2 linked regions of the Astyanax mexicanus genome follow. Each later gene encodes a partner of the first gene's protein in a complex. Links are inferred from orthologs where the notes say so. Each region holds a gene or a part of one and is shown in the gene's direction. Other genes may lie near its edges.

Region 1 (7,638 bases):
GGATTCGAACATTACTCAAATATCCACTATTCACTGTATACCTGTAACTCTACCTCTTCACTACTTTACTTTAACTGATGCTCTCAAACACTTTATTAAGAGACAAGAAATTCAAGTAGTTAACTCTTGATGAGTTCAGCACAGCTGTTAACTGAAAGCCTGAATTCCAGGTGACTCTACCTCATAAAACTGACTGCAATTTCTGTTATTTGATTATTTAGGAGTATTTTATCCTCTTTAGCAGGGGTGTCCAAACTACGGCCCGCGGCCGGTTTCCTTTTTTGGAGCGGCCCGCGAGGTATTTTAGAAATAGAATGAAAGTTGGCCCGCTGTTAAGCAGGTTTTATAATCTGAGATTCAAAGTTTGAACGCTAGGTGTCAGAAACGGGCCAAAGAGTCTAAAAGCGGAGAGAGTGCGCATTTCTAGCGCAGAAAAACAGGCCAAAGAGTCTAAAAGCGGAGAGGGTGTGCATTTCTGGCGCAGAAAAACGGGCCAAAGAGTCTAAAAGTGGAGAGGGTGCGCATTTCTAGTGCAGAAAAACAGGCCAAAGAGTCTAAAAGCGGAGAGGGTGCGCATTTCTAGCGCAAAAAACGGGCCAAAGAGTCTAAAAGCGGAGAGGGTGCGCATTTCTAGCGCAGAAAAACGGGCCAAAGAGTCTAAAAGTGGAGAGGGTGCGCATTTCTAGTGCAGAAAAACAGGCCAAAGAGTCTAAAAGCGGAGAGGGTGCGCATTTCTAGCGCAAAAAACGGGACAAAGAGTCTAAAAGCGGAGAGAGTGCGCATTTCTAGTGCAGAAAAACAGGCCAAAGAGTCTAAAAGCGGAGAGAGTGCGTATTTCTAGCGCAGAAAAACGGGGTAAAAGAGTCTAAACGCGGAGAGAGTGCGCTAGAAATGCGCACTCTCTCCGCGTTTAGACTCTTTTACCCCGTTTTTTTGTTTACACAACACTGTCAAATATAAAGATAGTAAGTCAAGTAAAATGGTGTGTAAATGAAATAATCAGGAAAATGTATTATTTAAAGTGGTATATTTCATTATTTGTTTTATTACAGAGTCTGTGGCCCGTGACTTCAAATATATTTCTCCTTCTGGCCCCCAACAAAAAAAGTTTGGACACCCCTGATCATCAGTAACACAGGTGCTGTGAAGTATTGTAGAGAACTGTATTTTGAAATAAAGAGTATCGCAAAATCACAGTATCATTGTTATGAAGGGAAATGTCTTGTTATATTAATGTATTACTACATCAGACTCTGTGTGTGTGTGGGTGTGTCTGTGTGTGTGTGTGAGTGAGTGTGTGTGAGTGTGTGTACGTACGCAGTGATCTCGAGCGTGTAGGAAGTCGAAGAGCTCCTCAGTGCAGTCCTCGGTGGTCTCGGACCTCGAGCCGACCCGAGCTTCACACGCCTCCAGCCTCTGCCTGGCGTGAACACAGTGCTCTGTCTGCTCACACTTCTCCCGGATGCTCTCTAACGGGTCCTGTACAAAAACAGTGAATAAAATAAACAAAAGTCAGTGTTTAGGATAAGTGTTGCTTACAGTCAGTGGCCAATTTATCAGAAACCAGGGCCATCAATAGAGGTTTATTAAAAGTTCAAATTTAAAATGCACAACTGTTTGATTGTTGGACTGTTTGTTTCATAGCAGCATCCCAGCTAAAACACTATACAAATTTTTACCTGCCCCGCCCCTAAACCCATACATCACCCAGTGCTCCTCTCAAATGACCTCTCCCATTATTTTTTTTTAGAGTGAAATCAGCTCAAATCAGGGAGTTTAGTGCCTCTTTAAGGCAGTGCTTGATAAAAATGATATTGAATTTTAATAAATATTGACACTTTGGGCACAATTTGTATATTTTCACTGTGAGCTGTACTCACTAGTTTTGCAGATATTTAGACATTAATTGCTGTGTGTTAAATTATTTTCAGAAGATTATGTCCAGGTTTCATTGCTGTAGTGTTGTCTCATGAAAAGATTATTATTATACATTAATAATTCTAATTATTTGCAGAAATGTGAGGGGTTTAATACTGTAGATCATTAGATATAAAAACTAATGTCATATATATATATTTTTTTTTTTTTAAATTTTTTTTTTAGTTTCACTTCTTTTTAATTCCACACAATTTAATATTAATCAATTAAAGCCCAGTACATTAAGGTCAGTCTCACTCGTCTTTATAATATTCTTAGCATTTATATAGTACATTTAATACATGTAATTCATCTTTTGTACCACATTATTTCTCTTGAACTACTTATTTATTTGATTATTTGTTCATTTGCCAGATAAGACAAATAACAACTAACTCACCACCAGGTCTTCTTCTTCCTCTTCTTCTTCTTCCTCCTCTTCTTCAGCTGGAGATTCCTCCTCCTTTTAAAGTGAAACAAAATCAATAAATTGCTCATTTATGAGGTTTTAATGTTATGGCTGAGTTCTCCAAGTTTTCTTCCATGTGGGTCAGCCCAACAAACAACTGTAGACTGTAACTAGAGCAGGGGTAATGGACTTATACTGTGTGTATGGAGGAGCTGCTGGATAAACCAGCTATTAGGTAATATCTTTCTCACTATATTAAAGCCTTTGTATGTAAAATTAAATGTACAACTTTTTACAGCTTTTAACGTAGAACACAGACTTTTGCAGGCTTGTTGGACCTATACCTGATTAGGTTGCTTTTGTGCTTTTAGGATCAATATATTGTACATTTTTCGTACAGTCGATGTGTTAAGGCTTTTCATTCAAGTGTCCACAAATTTTTGCCAATATAATTCAAACAGCTCTACAGGTCACAGTTATTTAGCTAGAACCACAGAATTCTGTATACTGATAGAACTCCAGACGTTTTAGAGGTTACTGTGTGTTTATAGAGGAGCTGCTGGATAAACCAGCTACTGGGTAACATTAATAGCTTTCTCACCATATTAAAGCCTTTGTATGCAAACTTTTTAGACTTTAGCATTTAACCAAAAGTTAACAGTTTTAATTTTTCAAATGAACTTAAGGTTCGTTCACAAACCTTTTTTCTTTTCTAGTATTATTATTATTATTATTATTAAAAAAACAATAATATAAAAAATAATATCTCTAAACTCTATCAACAGGCTAAATATCAGCATAACTCTAATAGAAATCGATTTAAAGTCTAACATGTTGAGGCATTTCAAGTAATTGTACTTATATAACACATTAAAACAACAAATAAACTCATTTTTAAACACGTGTTCAAAAGTTTATACTCTTTTCCCGAAGCTCGTTTTCGAACGGTCCGTTCCACCTTAAATGCTGCAGCAGTTACAGTCTGGCGTTTAAGGTGGAACGGACAATTCGAACACGAAGCCAACTCCAGCTTCAAAATTAAAGTCTAAATTCCATAAAATAAAAGCTTAAAATCAAACCTCGTCATCGGGATCTCCATAAGTGATCATTTTCCTTTCAAACCCCATGATTTAATTCACTTTATAAGCTCTAAACTTTCTGTAGTAGCTTTCTAAAGGTCACACACACTAAAAACACGCACTAGAAAGTTCGCAGGAAGCAGATTACAGATGGATTTACTTGGATAAAAGTCCTTTTTCAAATTCTTAAAAAAAAAAAAAAAAAAAAAAAAAAATATATATATATATATATATATATATATATATATATATATATATATATATATATATATATATTAAAATGTATATTTAGCGTAAAATTAAAAATGCAAAAAAAAAAAACAAGAGCAAAAATCTGTCTTAATTTTTATTTGCTTAGTCTGTAAAGGATATTTTTTTTATTTTTATATATATTTTGGTTGATTTTTTCCAAATACTCTTGTGTGAACTATTAAACTGTTTGTATTACTGATATAAATTAAATAAAAAGAGAGTGTATAAAAAAGTTTAACATTTCGACATTATTTGAGTTAGAAATTCAGGAAAGTTTAAACAAAAAAAAAATATATATATAAAAAAAGGAGAAAAAATATAGTATATTTTATATTTTTAAATAAATATTTAACCTAAAATATTTTATTTACCTAAAGATAAAAAAAATAAAAAAGTGTTTAATCTCTTTTTCAAACTAAAAAAGGTTATTTATTTCTTTCTTTATTTATTTCCCTGAGATTTACCTGGACATTTCAAATATAAAAAATATATAAGTTACTTTTTAGAATTATTTTACTTCTTCTTATCTGTGTCTTTTTCTAGTTATTACGATGAATGTGTGAATGTGCTGTGTGTAAGTGTGTAAATGCAGTAACTCTTTAAATTTATTTCCAATTGTTCACTTTATTTTTATTGCTGCTTATCCGCTGTAAACTGTTAACCAATGACCTGTTTGCTAAACATCCCCCTTTAATTTTTTTATAATTTATGATGAATTTATTTTTTTTACAATGTACTTTTACAATATACTACCTTTTTAACAATATTAAAATTGTAGTATAATTAATTCGTAAAAAATATTACTCAAGTAAACAACATAAGTATTATGTTGTTAGAGTTTAATATAACTAAGCTATTAAAAGCTAAAATTTACAAATATATTTGTTTTATTTTTCCTCTAGTCTAAAAAACGTGTTTTTTTTATTTAACGCAGAGAGGAACTAATAGTGCGGGTATTTGTGCGGAGGGGACGGGTGTTAGTGTTACACCTGATGTAAAGATGGCAGTGAGCGTTAGCCCGAGGTTTCTGTTTAAGAGAATAAAACACTCCGTGTGTTTCATTCAGCGCCGTAACCGCGTCAAAACTAAATGGGTAAGTGTTAGGTTTTAACGCGGTGCAGATATTTACTGTAAAATGTGAGTGTAGTATTACTATAAAGCCAAACACTCCAGTTAGCTTAGCTTAGCTAAGGCTGCATGGGCTGTGCTCCAAATATCAGCTGCTCCGTATCTAGTGCACTAGGTAAAGAAGGGGGCGAAATGAAGTTGATTTTGATGTGTAGAATACAAAACAGCCTCTTTACTTTATAGTAAAGGACAACAGTAACCAGATATTAAGTAGTTCTGTAAAATTAAATGGGCCAGCTTATACATTCTTCTATACATTCTATACAAAAAAAAAAAAAAATGAAAAAAGATCTTATATTTTGTTATACTTTTAGATGAATATTTAACTTAACATGTTATTTACCTAGGGATAAAAAAATCAAGGTTTTAATTTTTTATTATGTTTTGTAATTCGTAAAGGTTATTTACATGTTAATATGTATTTTTTATTTCTGATTATTCCAGTGTGAACTATTGAACTATATGTATTATCTATCTATCTATCTATCTATCTATCTATCTATCTATCTATCTATCTATCTATCTATCTATCTGTCTATCTATCTATCTGTCTATCTATCTATCTAATTATTATTTGACTTATTTTACTTGTTCTGCATTGTAGATTAAATACTAAACTCATTCAAACTATGAAAACGAAACATATGGAATTATTTAATTAAACAAATAGAACGTGTGAAAAATATCAGAATAAATTTTATATATTTTAGATTATGCAAAAACGAACACCTCTTGCTTAAATCGAGAAAGTTTTGCACATCTCTGCTGGATTTTCTCAGTCAGTTTTATGAGGTAGAGTCACCTGGAATTCTGGCTTTCAGTTAACAGCTGTGCTGAACTCATCAAGAGTTAATTACTTGAATTTCTTGTCTCTTAATAAAGTGTTTGAGAGCATCAGTTAAAGTAAAGTAGTGAAGAGGTAGAGTTGGCCTGTCCCAATAATTACATTATCGATTTATTTGATATTGTGATATCGTCTATTGGGTTTATTTGTATGTTTGTGTGCATATATAACAATCAAGAATATTTTAGCCAGCAATAATACACACAGTGTGGACTGCAGTAAGTGAGAAAAAATGGTTATTTCCAAAACTATGATTATTGAAATTATGTTTTCTTAAAAAGGGTATACATTTTGTTTGTTATAATTATTTTGTTATTATTATATCAGTGACATTCAATGGTCTTAAAACGACAATAATATCGATTATCGCAATAATTTCTGGGACAATATATCGCCCAGAGAAAATTCCTTTCGTGACAGCCTTGGTAGAGTTACAGGTATACAGAAAAGAAGAATTTCAAAAACTTTGAAAGTATCCTTAAGTGCTATTACAAAAAAAGACCATCAAAAATATTATAATGGTGAAACTGGCACTTATCAGGACAAGTTCATCAGAGTTACCAGCCTCAGAAATCGCAAGTTAGCAGCTTAACCCCAAATAAGAGCACCTAAATGCTTCTTCACAGAGTATTTTGGTTTGTTTAAAACTTTTAAGGAAAATTTGTATCTTATTATTAAATTTTATTGATTTATGGATTGATTGATTGATATTCCTCCAGGCCGGCACCAGACCTAAAGTAGCCTCCTCTGACCTCGCCCTGCATCACTTTGATATGACGTACAGTCTGCAGCTGGGTGATCTGTGGCCGTCGGTTCGGGTCGGGATGCTGTCGGAGAAAAAGTATGGAGCTTTAGTGAACAGTTTCTCCTGTGATTCAGACGTTATCTCAGCGCTACAGACTCAGGGCTGCAGAGACTTCATCAGCACAGCGCTTACAGAGCATCTCTCTACTGATCCAGAGCTCCACAACCCCACTGCTGCTCCAATCACCTCACATATCCAGTGCTTCACCTTCCCCAGAGGAGACATCTCTCGATTCAGACCTGCACGGTAAGAATTCTCAGCTTTATAGACGTTTTTTAGCTTTAAATCAGATTTAAAGCAGATTACACTGAGCAAGAATCGATATTTTTTCAATTTATAATGTCCCAATTTAATTCATTTTTCATTTATATGCATTTAGTATTATTTCAGGTATATTTACAGGGTCTTTAATTCAGAAAGTAATAGAATCCCTTTATTTCTGATGTAGACTGAAAACTTTTAGATTTAACATTTAAAAGATAAATATGAGACAAAATATCAACATTTCAGCTTTTATTTCCCAGTATTTTACATTTTTTAAGTAAATTAAAGCGAATACAACTTCAAAAGAACAATCAGTCATCAATATATATATATATATATATTAAGAGATCCCTTTAGTTTCTGAATCAGTTTCTCTGATTTTGCTATTTGTAGGTTTATTTTTGAGTAAAATGAAAATTGTTTTATTCTATAAACTACAGACAACATTTCTCCCAAATTCCAAATAAGAAATATCATCATTTAGAGCATTTATTTACAGAAAATGAGAAATGGCTGAAATAACAAAAAAAAAGATGCAGAGCTTTCAGACCTCAAATAATGCAAAGAAAACAAGTTCATATTCATAAAGTTTAAAGAGTTCAGAAATAATCAATATTTGGTGGAATAACCCTGGTGGTTTTTAATCACATTTTTCATGCATCTTGGCATCATGTTCTCCTCCACCAGTCTTACACACTGCTTTTGGATAACTTTATGCTGCTTTACTCCTGGTGCAGAAATTCAAGCAGTTCAGTTTGGTGGTTTGATAGCGTGTGATCATCCATCTTCCTCTTGATTATATTCCAGAGGTTTTCAATTTGGTACTGTTTGCGTACTGTCGTGTTCTATGCCTGGCAACCCTGAGTGTGGAAATGGGACTGGGGGGAATGGATGTGGGAAGATCCCACACATATTTTCATGATTCTCTTCGGCACCGCCC
Region 2 (7,331 bases), about 25 Mb from region 1:
TTTCACTGACTTAATATTAGAACATTTTGGTGTGTCATTTCAAAATAAAGGCCCTTTAAATTATAACATTTATGTAATTTTACACAATGTTTAGACTGTTATTAAAAAAAATCTGTCTGATATCACAGTTCAATTTCAGATAGTCCTGATAGTACACTACTTGTATGTGTCACTCACTTAATATCAGAACATTTTGATGTGTCATTTCAAAATAAAGACCCTTTAAATTTCAAAAATATTTTATTTCAACACAATGTTTAGACTGTTATTAAAAAAAATCTGTCTGATATCACAGTTCAATTTCAGATAGTACTGATAGTACACTACTTGTATGTTTCACTCACTTAATATCAGAACATTTTGATGTGTCATTTTAAAATAAAAGCCCTTTAAATTGTAACATTTATGTAATTATACACAATGTTTAGACTGTTACACATACAAGTGGTGTACTATCAGTAGTATATGACATTGAAATGTGATATCAGACAGATTTATCTTAATAGCAGTCTAAACATTGTGTAAAATTACATAAATGTTACAATTTAAAGGGCTTTTATTTTAAAATGACACATCAAAATGTTCTGATTTTAAGTGAGTGACACATACAAGTAGTGTACTATCAGTACTATCTGAAATTGAACTGTGATATCAGACAGATTTTTTTTAATAACAGTCTAAACATTGTGTAAAATTACATAAATGTTACAATTTAAAGGGCCTTTATTTTGAAATGACACACCAAAATGTTCTGATATTAAGTGAGTGACACATACAAGTAGTGTACTATCAGGGCTATATAAAATTGAGCTGTGATATCAGACAGATTTCTTTTAATAACAGTCTAAACATTGTGTTGAAATAAAATATTTTTGAAATTTAAAGGGTCTTTATTTTGAAATGACACATCAAAATGTTCTGATATTAAGTGAGTGACACATACAAGTAGTGTACTATCAGGACTATCTGAAATTGAACTGTGATATCAGACAGATTTTTTTTAATAACAGTCTAAACATTGTGTAAAATTACATAAATGTTATAATTTAAAGGGCCTTTATTTTGAAATGACACATCAAAATGTTCTGATTTTAAGTGAGTGACACATACAAGTAGTGTACTATCAGGACTATATGAAATTGAACTGTGATATCAGACAGATTTTTTTTAATAACAGTCTAAACATTGTGTTGAAATAAAATATTTTTGAAATTTAAAGGGTCTTTATTTTGAAATGACACATCAAAATGTTCTGATATTAAGTGAGTGACACATACAAGTAGTGTACTATCAGGACTATCTGAAATTGAACTGTGATATCAGACAGATTTTTTTTAATAACAGTCTAAACATTGTGTAAAATTACATAAATGTTACAATTTAAAGGGCCTTTATTTTGAAATGACACACCAAAATGTTCTAATATTAAGTCAGTGAAACATACCAGTGGTGTACTATCAGGACTATATGAAATTGACCTGTGATATCAGACAGATTTTTTTTAATAACAGTCTAAACATTGTGTAAAATTACATAAATGTTATAATTTAAAGGGCCTTTATTTTGAAATGACACATCAAAATGTTCTGATTTTAAGTGAGTGACACATACAAGTAGTGTACTATCAGGACTATATGAAATTGAACTGTGATATCAGACAGATTTTTTTTAATAACAGTCTAAACATTGTGTTGAAACAAAATATTGTTACAATTTAAAGGGCTTTTATTTTAAAATGACACATCAAAATGTTCTGATTTTAAGTGAGTGACACATACAAGTAGTGTACTATCAGTACTATCTGAAATTGAACTGTGATATCAGACAGATTTTTTTTAATAACAGTCTAAACATTGTGTAAAATTACATAAATGTTACAATTTAAAGGGCTTTTATTTTAAAATGACACATCAAAATGTTCTGATTTTAAGTGAGTGACACATACAAGTAGTGTACTATCAGTACTATCTGAAATTGAACTGTGATATCAGACAGATTTTTTTTAATAACAGTCTAAACATTGTGTAAAATTACATAAATGTTACAATTTAAAGGGCTTTTATTTTAAAATGACACATCAAAATGTTCTGATTTTAAGTGAGTGACACATACAAGTAGTGTACTATCAGTACTATCTGAAATTGAACTGTGATATCAGACAGATTTTTTTTAATAACAGTCTAAACATTGTGTTGAAATAAAATATTTTTGAAATTTAAAGGGTCTTTATTTTGAAATGACACATCAAAATGTTCTGATATTAAGTGAGTGACACATACAAGTAGTGTACTATCAGGACTATCTGAAATTGAACTGTGATATCAGACAGATTTTTTTTAATAACAGTCTAAACATTGTGTTGAAACAAAATATTGTTACAATTTAAAGGGCTTTTATTTTAAAATGACACATCAAAATGTTCTGATTTTAAGTGAGTGACACATACAAGTAGTGTACTATCAGTACTATCTGAAATTGAACTGTGATATCAGACAGATTTTTTTTAATAACAGTCTAAACATTGTGTAAAATTACATAAATGTTACAATTTAAAGGGCTTTTATTTTAAAATGACACATCAAAATGTTCTGATTTTAAGTGAGTGACACATACAAGTAGTGTACTATCAGTACTATCTGAAATTGAACTGTGATATCAGACAGATTTTTTTTAATAACAGTCTAAACATTGTGTAAAATTACATAAATGTTACAATTTAAAGGGCTTTTATTTTAAAATGACACATCAAAATGTTCTGATTTTAAGTGAGTGACACATACAAGTAGTGTACTATCAGTACTATCTGAAATTGAACTGTGATATCAGACAGATTTTTTTTAATAACAGTCTAAACATTGTGTTGAAATAAAATATTTTTGAAATTTAAAGGGTCTTTATTTTGAAATGACACATCAAAATGTTCTGATATTAAGTGAGTGACACATACAAGTAGTGTACTATCAGGACTATCTGAAATTGAACTGTGATATCAGACAGATTTTTTTTAATAACAGTCTAAACATTGTGTTGAAATAAAATATTTTTGAAATTTAAAGGGTCTTTATTTTGAAATGACACATCAAAATGTTCTGATATTAAGTGAGTGACACATACAAGTAGTGTACTATCAGGACTATCTGAAATTGAACTGTGATATCAGACAGATTTTTTTTAATAACAGTCTAAACATTGTGTAAAATTACATAAATGTTACAATTTAAAGGGCTTTTATTTTAAAATGACACATCAAAATGTTCTGATATTAAGTGAGTGAAACATACAAGTAGTGTACTATCAGGACTATCTGAAATTGAACTGTGATATCAGACAGATTTTTTTTAATAACAGTCTAAACATTGTGTAAAATTACATAAATGTTACAATTTAAAGGGCTTTTATTTTAAAATGACACATCAAAATGTTCTGATATTAATTGAGTGAAACATACAAGTAGTGTACTATCAGGAATATATGAAATTGAACTGTGATATCAGACAGATTTTTTTTAATAACAGTCTAAACATTGTGTTGAAACAAAATATTGTTACAATTTAAAGGGCTTTTATTTTAAAATGACACATCAAAATGTTCTGATATTAAGTGAGTGACACATACAAGTAGTGTACTATCAGGGCTATATAAAATTGAGCTGTGATATCAGACAGATTTCTTTTAATAACAGTCTAAACATTGTGTAAAATTACATAAATGTTACAATTTAAGTGGCCCTTATTTTGAAATGACACATCAAAATGTTCTGATATTAAGTGAGTGACAAATACACGTGGTGTACTATCAGGACTATATGAAATTGACCTGTGACGTCAGACAGATTCCTTTTAATAACAGTCTAAACATTGTGTTAAAATAAAATATTGTAATAATTTAAAGGGCCTTTATTTTGAAATGACACATTATAATGCCCTGTTATTAAGTGAGTGACACATATAAGTATTATTATTAGTATTATTATTAGTATTAGTATTATTAGTAGTAGTAGTATTATTAAAATAACATATTTTTTTATAATTTACAGGGCTTTTATTTTGTGTACTACCAGGACTACATGAAATTGACATGTGATATCAGACATAACATGTGAAATCATGTGGATTCCTTTTAATACCACTCCACAGCATAATGATATTAAGGGGGGGGGGGGGGGCTTTTATTTTGAAATGTGTTCCTTCTCACGCTTGCCGCAATGTTTAGTGTATGCGCGCTCTGAGAAACAGCGTGGGGGCTAGTTTGACCAAGCGTTTTGCAGTGGGGGCTGGCTTGACCGCAGTTGTTTTTGCGTGGGGGAAATGAGCTTCTGTGGTGGAACCACTTTATCAGGGTTGATGTTTTAGGGGAATGTTTTTGACTCCGGATAAACATGAGCGCTCAGGCTTGTGGGGTTAGTAAGAGACTTTTACACAGTTTAATAATGTTTTAATTAGAGTGTGAAGAGGTTATTACTGCTGTGACTAAAACACTGCTTTATTTAGACATTATAAGTGTTAAAAGCGTGTATTATTGGGTGGCTGGTTTTGCTTAGCCATTAGCTCGGTTAGCTGAGGAGTGGGGCAGATGAACAGCAGGCACTGTGTGTGTGTGTGTGTGTGTATGTGTGTGTGTTTGCCTGTCTGTCTGTCTGTGTGAGTGACTGAGTGTGTGTCTGTCTGACTGAGTGTGTGTGTGTGTGTGCTTGTGTTTTGAGGCTATTCCATTACTGCTTTAATTCTTCGTTCCACTTAAAACTGTAGATATAACAGATATTTACACTGTAAAAAACATTTATTAAATAGAAAGTCGCTGTAAAATACCCTAAAATGACCCCTGCAATACTAGTCGTATTCACATCATTAGCTACATATCCTTCTGTAATTCTGGCTAGAAAAAGGTTTATGTCCATATATTAATAGGTCAATTTTGACTACTGCAAATGGTAATTCAACATATCTCTGATTAGTTATGACTAGTAGCAATGTGCATTTCAAAAACAGGACAACTCAAACATTTGAACACACCTCTTTATTCAGTTAGTTAAAAACATATTAATTAATTGAATGTGACATTTACAAAATATCATAACAGATTTGACCAATAATTAATATACTGTTTGTGTATTCTCAACATGATAATCAAAAAAATATACAAACTTCCCTCCAGAGGAAGAGATATCACTGAGTGCAGGTCACATATTTTTTATTTGAACGTTGTTTTGTTTTTGTTAATTATTGAAATAACATACTCTACAGAAAATGTATAATTTGGGGCACTGATTTTATAACACAGTCAATAATATGTGGGCATCCTGTAATTGATGATGAATTATGTCTAAAGTATACATCAGTTATTATTATATATTTTATATTAAATATACGAATAATTCTAAATACAAATGAATGTAATCACTAGTAATATTTAAAATTCATTTAATAATTCAATTTTGGGGAAAAATAATAGAAGGTGTTTTTGGGATATCCTAAATGTCCTGTCCCATCTGCATTTTGATCTTTTGTGGCAGGTCCTACGCTGGACTTGGAGGAGCGTTTCTCTCTGCAGTCCTCTGCTGTTTCCTGTTAAACAGCAGGCAGCTTTAGTGGGCATCCCCAGACTGTTCTGTTCTGCTCCGCCACCTCCTAAAGTACAGCATCCTGAACCAGAGTTAACGATGAGGGCTTTGGCTGAAATGGGTTTCTCTGAGACCCAGGCTGAAGTAGTGTATGAAGTTGCAAAGAAGAAACGATGCAAACACCAGGTGCCGATACTGACAAGTCTGTTCGTCCTCGGCTTTAACCCCGACAGCATGCTGAAGGTCCTGGAGAAGTGTCCTGACCTGTATGTGGTGAAAGAGTCTCAGTTACAGCAGCGTATAGCAAATCTGAGGAAACTCGGCCTGCTTGAAGGTAAGCTGGCTTTTTTTCCCTTTATTTCCCGTTTTCTTTAATTACAGAGTGTAGTCCTTCTATTTCTTTCACTCTGTTCTTCAATGGTCAGGACCTTCCAGGACCACCACAGAGCAGGGATTATTTGGGAGGTGGGTCATTCTCTGCACTGCAGTGACACTACCACTGACTGGCAAGATGGCGGCACAAGCAACCAAGGAATCTCACAAGTTTGAGTAATTTCCTAAACAGCAACCTAAACAGTTAGGTTGCACTGCACTGCTTAACATCTGTATCAGATGCTTGAAGAGTTTTTCCCAATTCTTAAGAAAAGGATTTCAATATTTTCCCTTGTAGTTAATTCTTATCTAAGGGGAAGGGCTAAACTCAAAAAACAAGGGGTAGGGGTACAAAAAGGAAATAGGATTGTGCTGGAAAAAGTGGATCAAATACACCAATGCTGCTGGAATTTATAAACACCTCAGTGCTCACTGCTGGTCAGAAAATAGGTCACCAGCTACAAATTTTTGGCCAGCAGTGTCCTGTGGGCAGTGTCCTGTGGTTATTGATGAAGGCAAGACTAGAGGATGACCAACACAAACTGTGCAGCAACAGATTCAGTGCTTCTGTCTTTGACTTCACTTTATCTACAGGTGTTTCAGCTGTAGGTACGAGTGTGTAATAGAGTGGAGGACAGTGAGTGATTAAACACAGTGTTTAAAAACTCCAGCAGCACTGCTGCTGTACCTGATCCACTTGTACCAGCACAGCACACACTAACACCTCATACACCACCACTATGTCAGTACAGTCACTGCAGTGCTGAGAATAAATCACCCACGATACAAATAATATTAGCTACCGTGTGGTGGTTCTGGGGGGACTGAGAGAAGGGAGAGGAGGATAATAAATTGTGCATAAAAAGGAAGGATTACAGTCTGTAATTATAGAACCTGTTATACTTTGTTTGCCAATAAGCCAGCTTTTCTTTCTGCAGTTGTGGTAATTAAACACTTTTATTAGTGAAAGTAAATGGCAACATTAAGTGTAATGTTTGGAGTGGGTCGGCCTCATTTTCCGTTGCAAAAGCTGCTAGTAAACTCTGGTCTCTGTCATCAGGCAGTCTGCAGAGGGTGATAAGCCACTACCCTCAGATCCTGTCTCTGCCCATAAAGAAAGTAAACGCTGTGTCTCGGCTCCTTAGAGAAAAGTGCCAGTTTACAGTTCAGCAGGTGACTGACATCCTCAGGGACTCGCCTCACATCCTGCAGGAAGACCACACGAGTCTGGAGTACGTGTTTCAGGTACGAGAAACTCTTAAATTATGAGTACAGTAGCCTAGTCCCAAATTGTGCACTAAACCCTGGGAACATAAACTGTCCTTCCTCAAAGTTTGCACTTGGGTTATATCAGTAATATATGCACATATGGCCTTGTCTACACTGGGTATTAACATGA

What was found.
Region 2: the proteins of nsun4 (region 1) and mterf4 are in contact, whole or in part, in a crystal structure (PDB 4FP9), measured with the Homo sapiens proteins. The link is inferred for Astyanax mexicanus from reciprocal best matches to the Homo sapiens genes NSUN4 and MTERF4. Residues at the interface, in NP_950245.2 of Homo sapiens: Pro61, Ser62, Arg64, Val65, Leu68, Ser69, Glu70, Arg136, Gly137, Asp138, Ile139, Arg141, Asn367, Leu368, Met369; in NP_872307.2 of Homo sapiens: Tyr267, Glu269, Arg270, Leu271, Gly272, Arg273, Glu311, Glu312, Val315, Phe316, Lys318, Leu319, Arg322, Glu323, Glu326.

The regions. Positions count from the first base shown.
Region 1 is NC_064411.1:55,593,861-55,601,498, reverse strand, and holds the start of nsun4 (5-methylcytosine rRNA methyltransferase NSUN4), read left to right. Parts: upstream 1-4,635; 5' UTR 4,636-4,657; coding exon 4,658-4,750; intron 4,751-6,348; coding exon 6,349-6,680; intron 6,681-7,638. Other genes in the region: cytochrome b-c1 complex subunit 6, mitochondrial, read right to left, coding at 1,318-1,479, 2,318-2,380, 3,406-3,453. UniProt on the Homo sapiens protein: Mitochondrial RNA cytosine C(5)-methyltransferase that methylates cytosine to 5-methylcytosine (m5C) in various RNAs, such as rRNAs, mRNAs and some long non-coding RNAs (lncRNAs).
Region 2 is NC_064411.1:30,156,045-30,163,375, forward strand, and holds the start of mterf4 (transcription termination factor 4, mitochondrial), read left to right. Parts: upstream 1-4,294; 5' UTR 4,295-4,378; coding exon 4,379-4,399; intron 4,400-5,512; coding exon 5,513-5,894; intron 5,895-6,992; coding exon 6,993-7,177; intron 7,178-7,331. UniProt on the Homo sapiens protein: Regulator of mitochondrial ribosome biogenesis and translation. Binds to mitochondrial ribosomal RNAs 16S, 12S and 7S and targets NSUN4 RNA methyltransferase to the mitochondrial large ribosomal subunit (39S).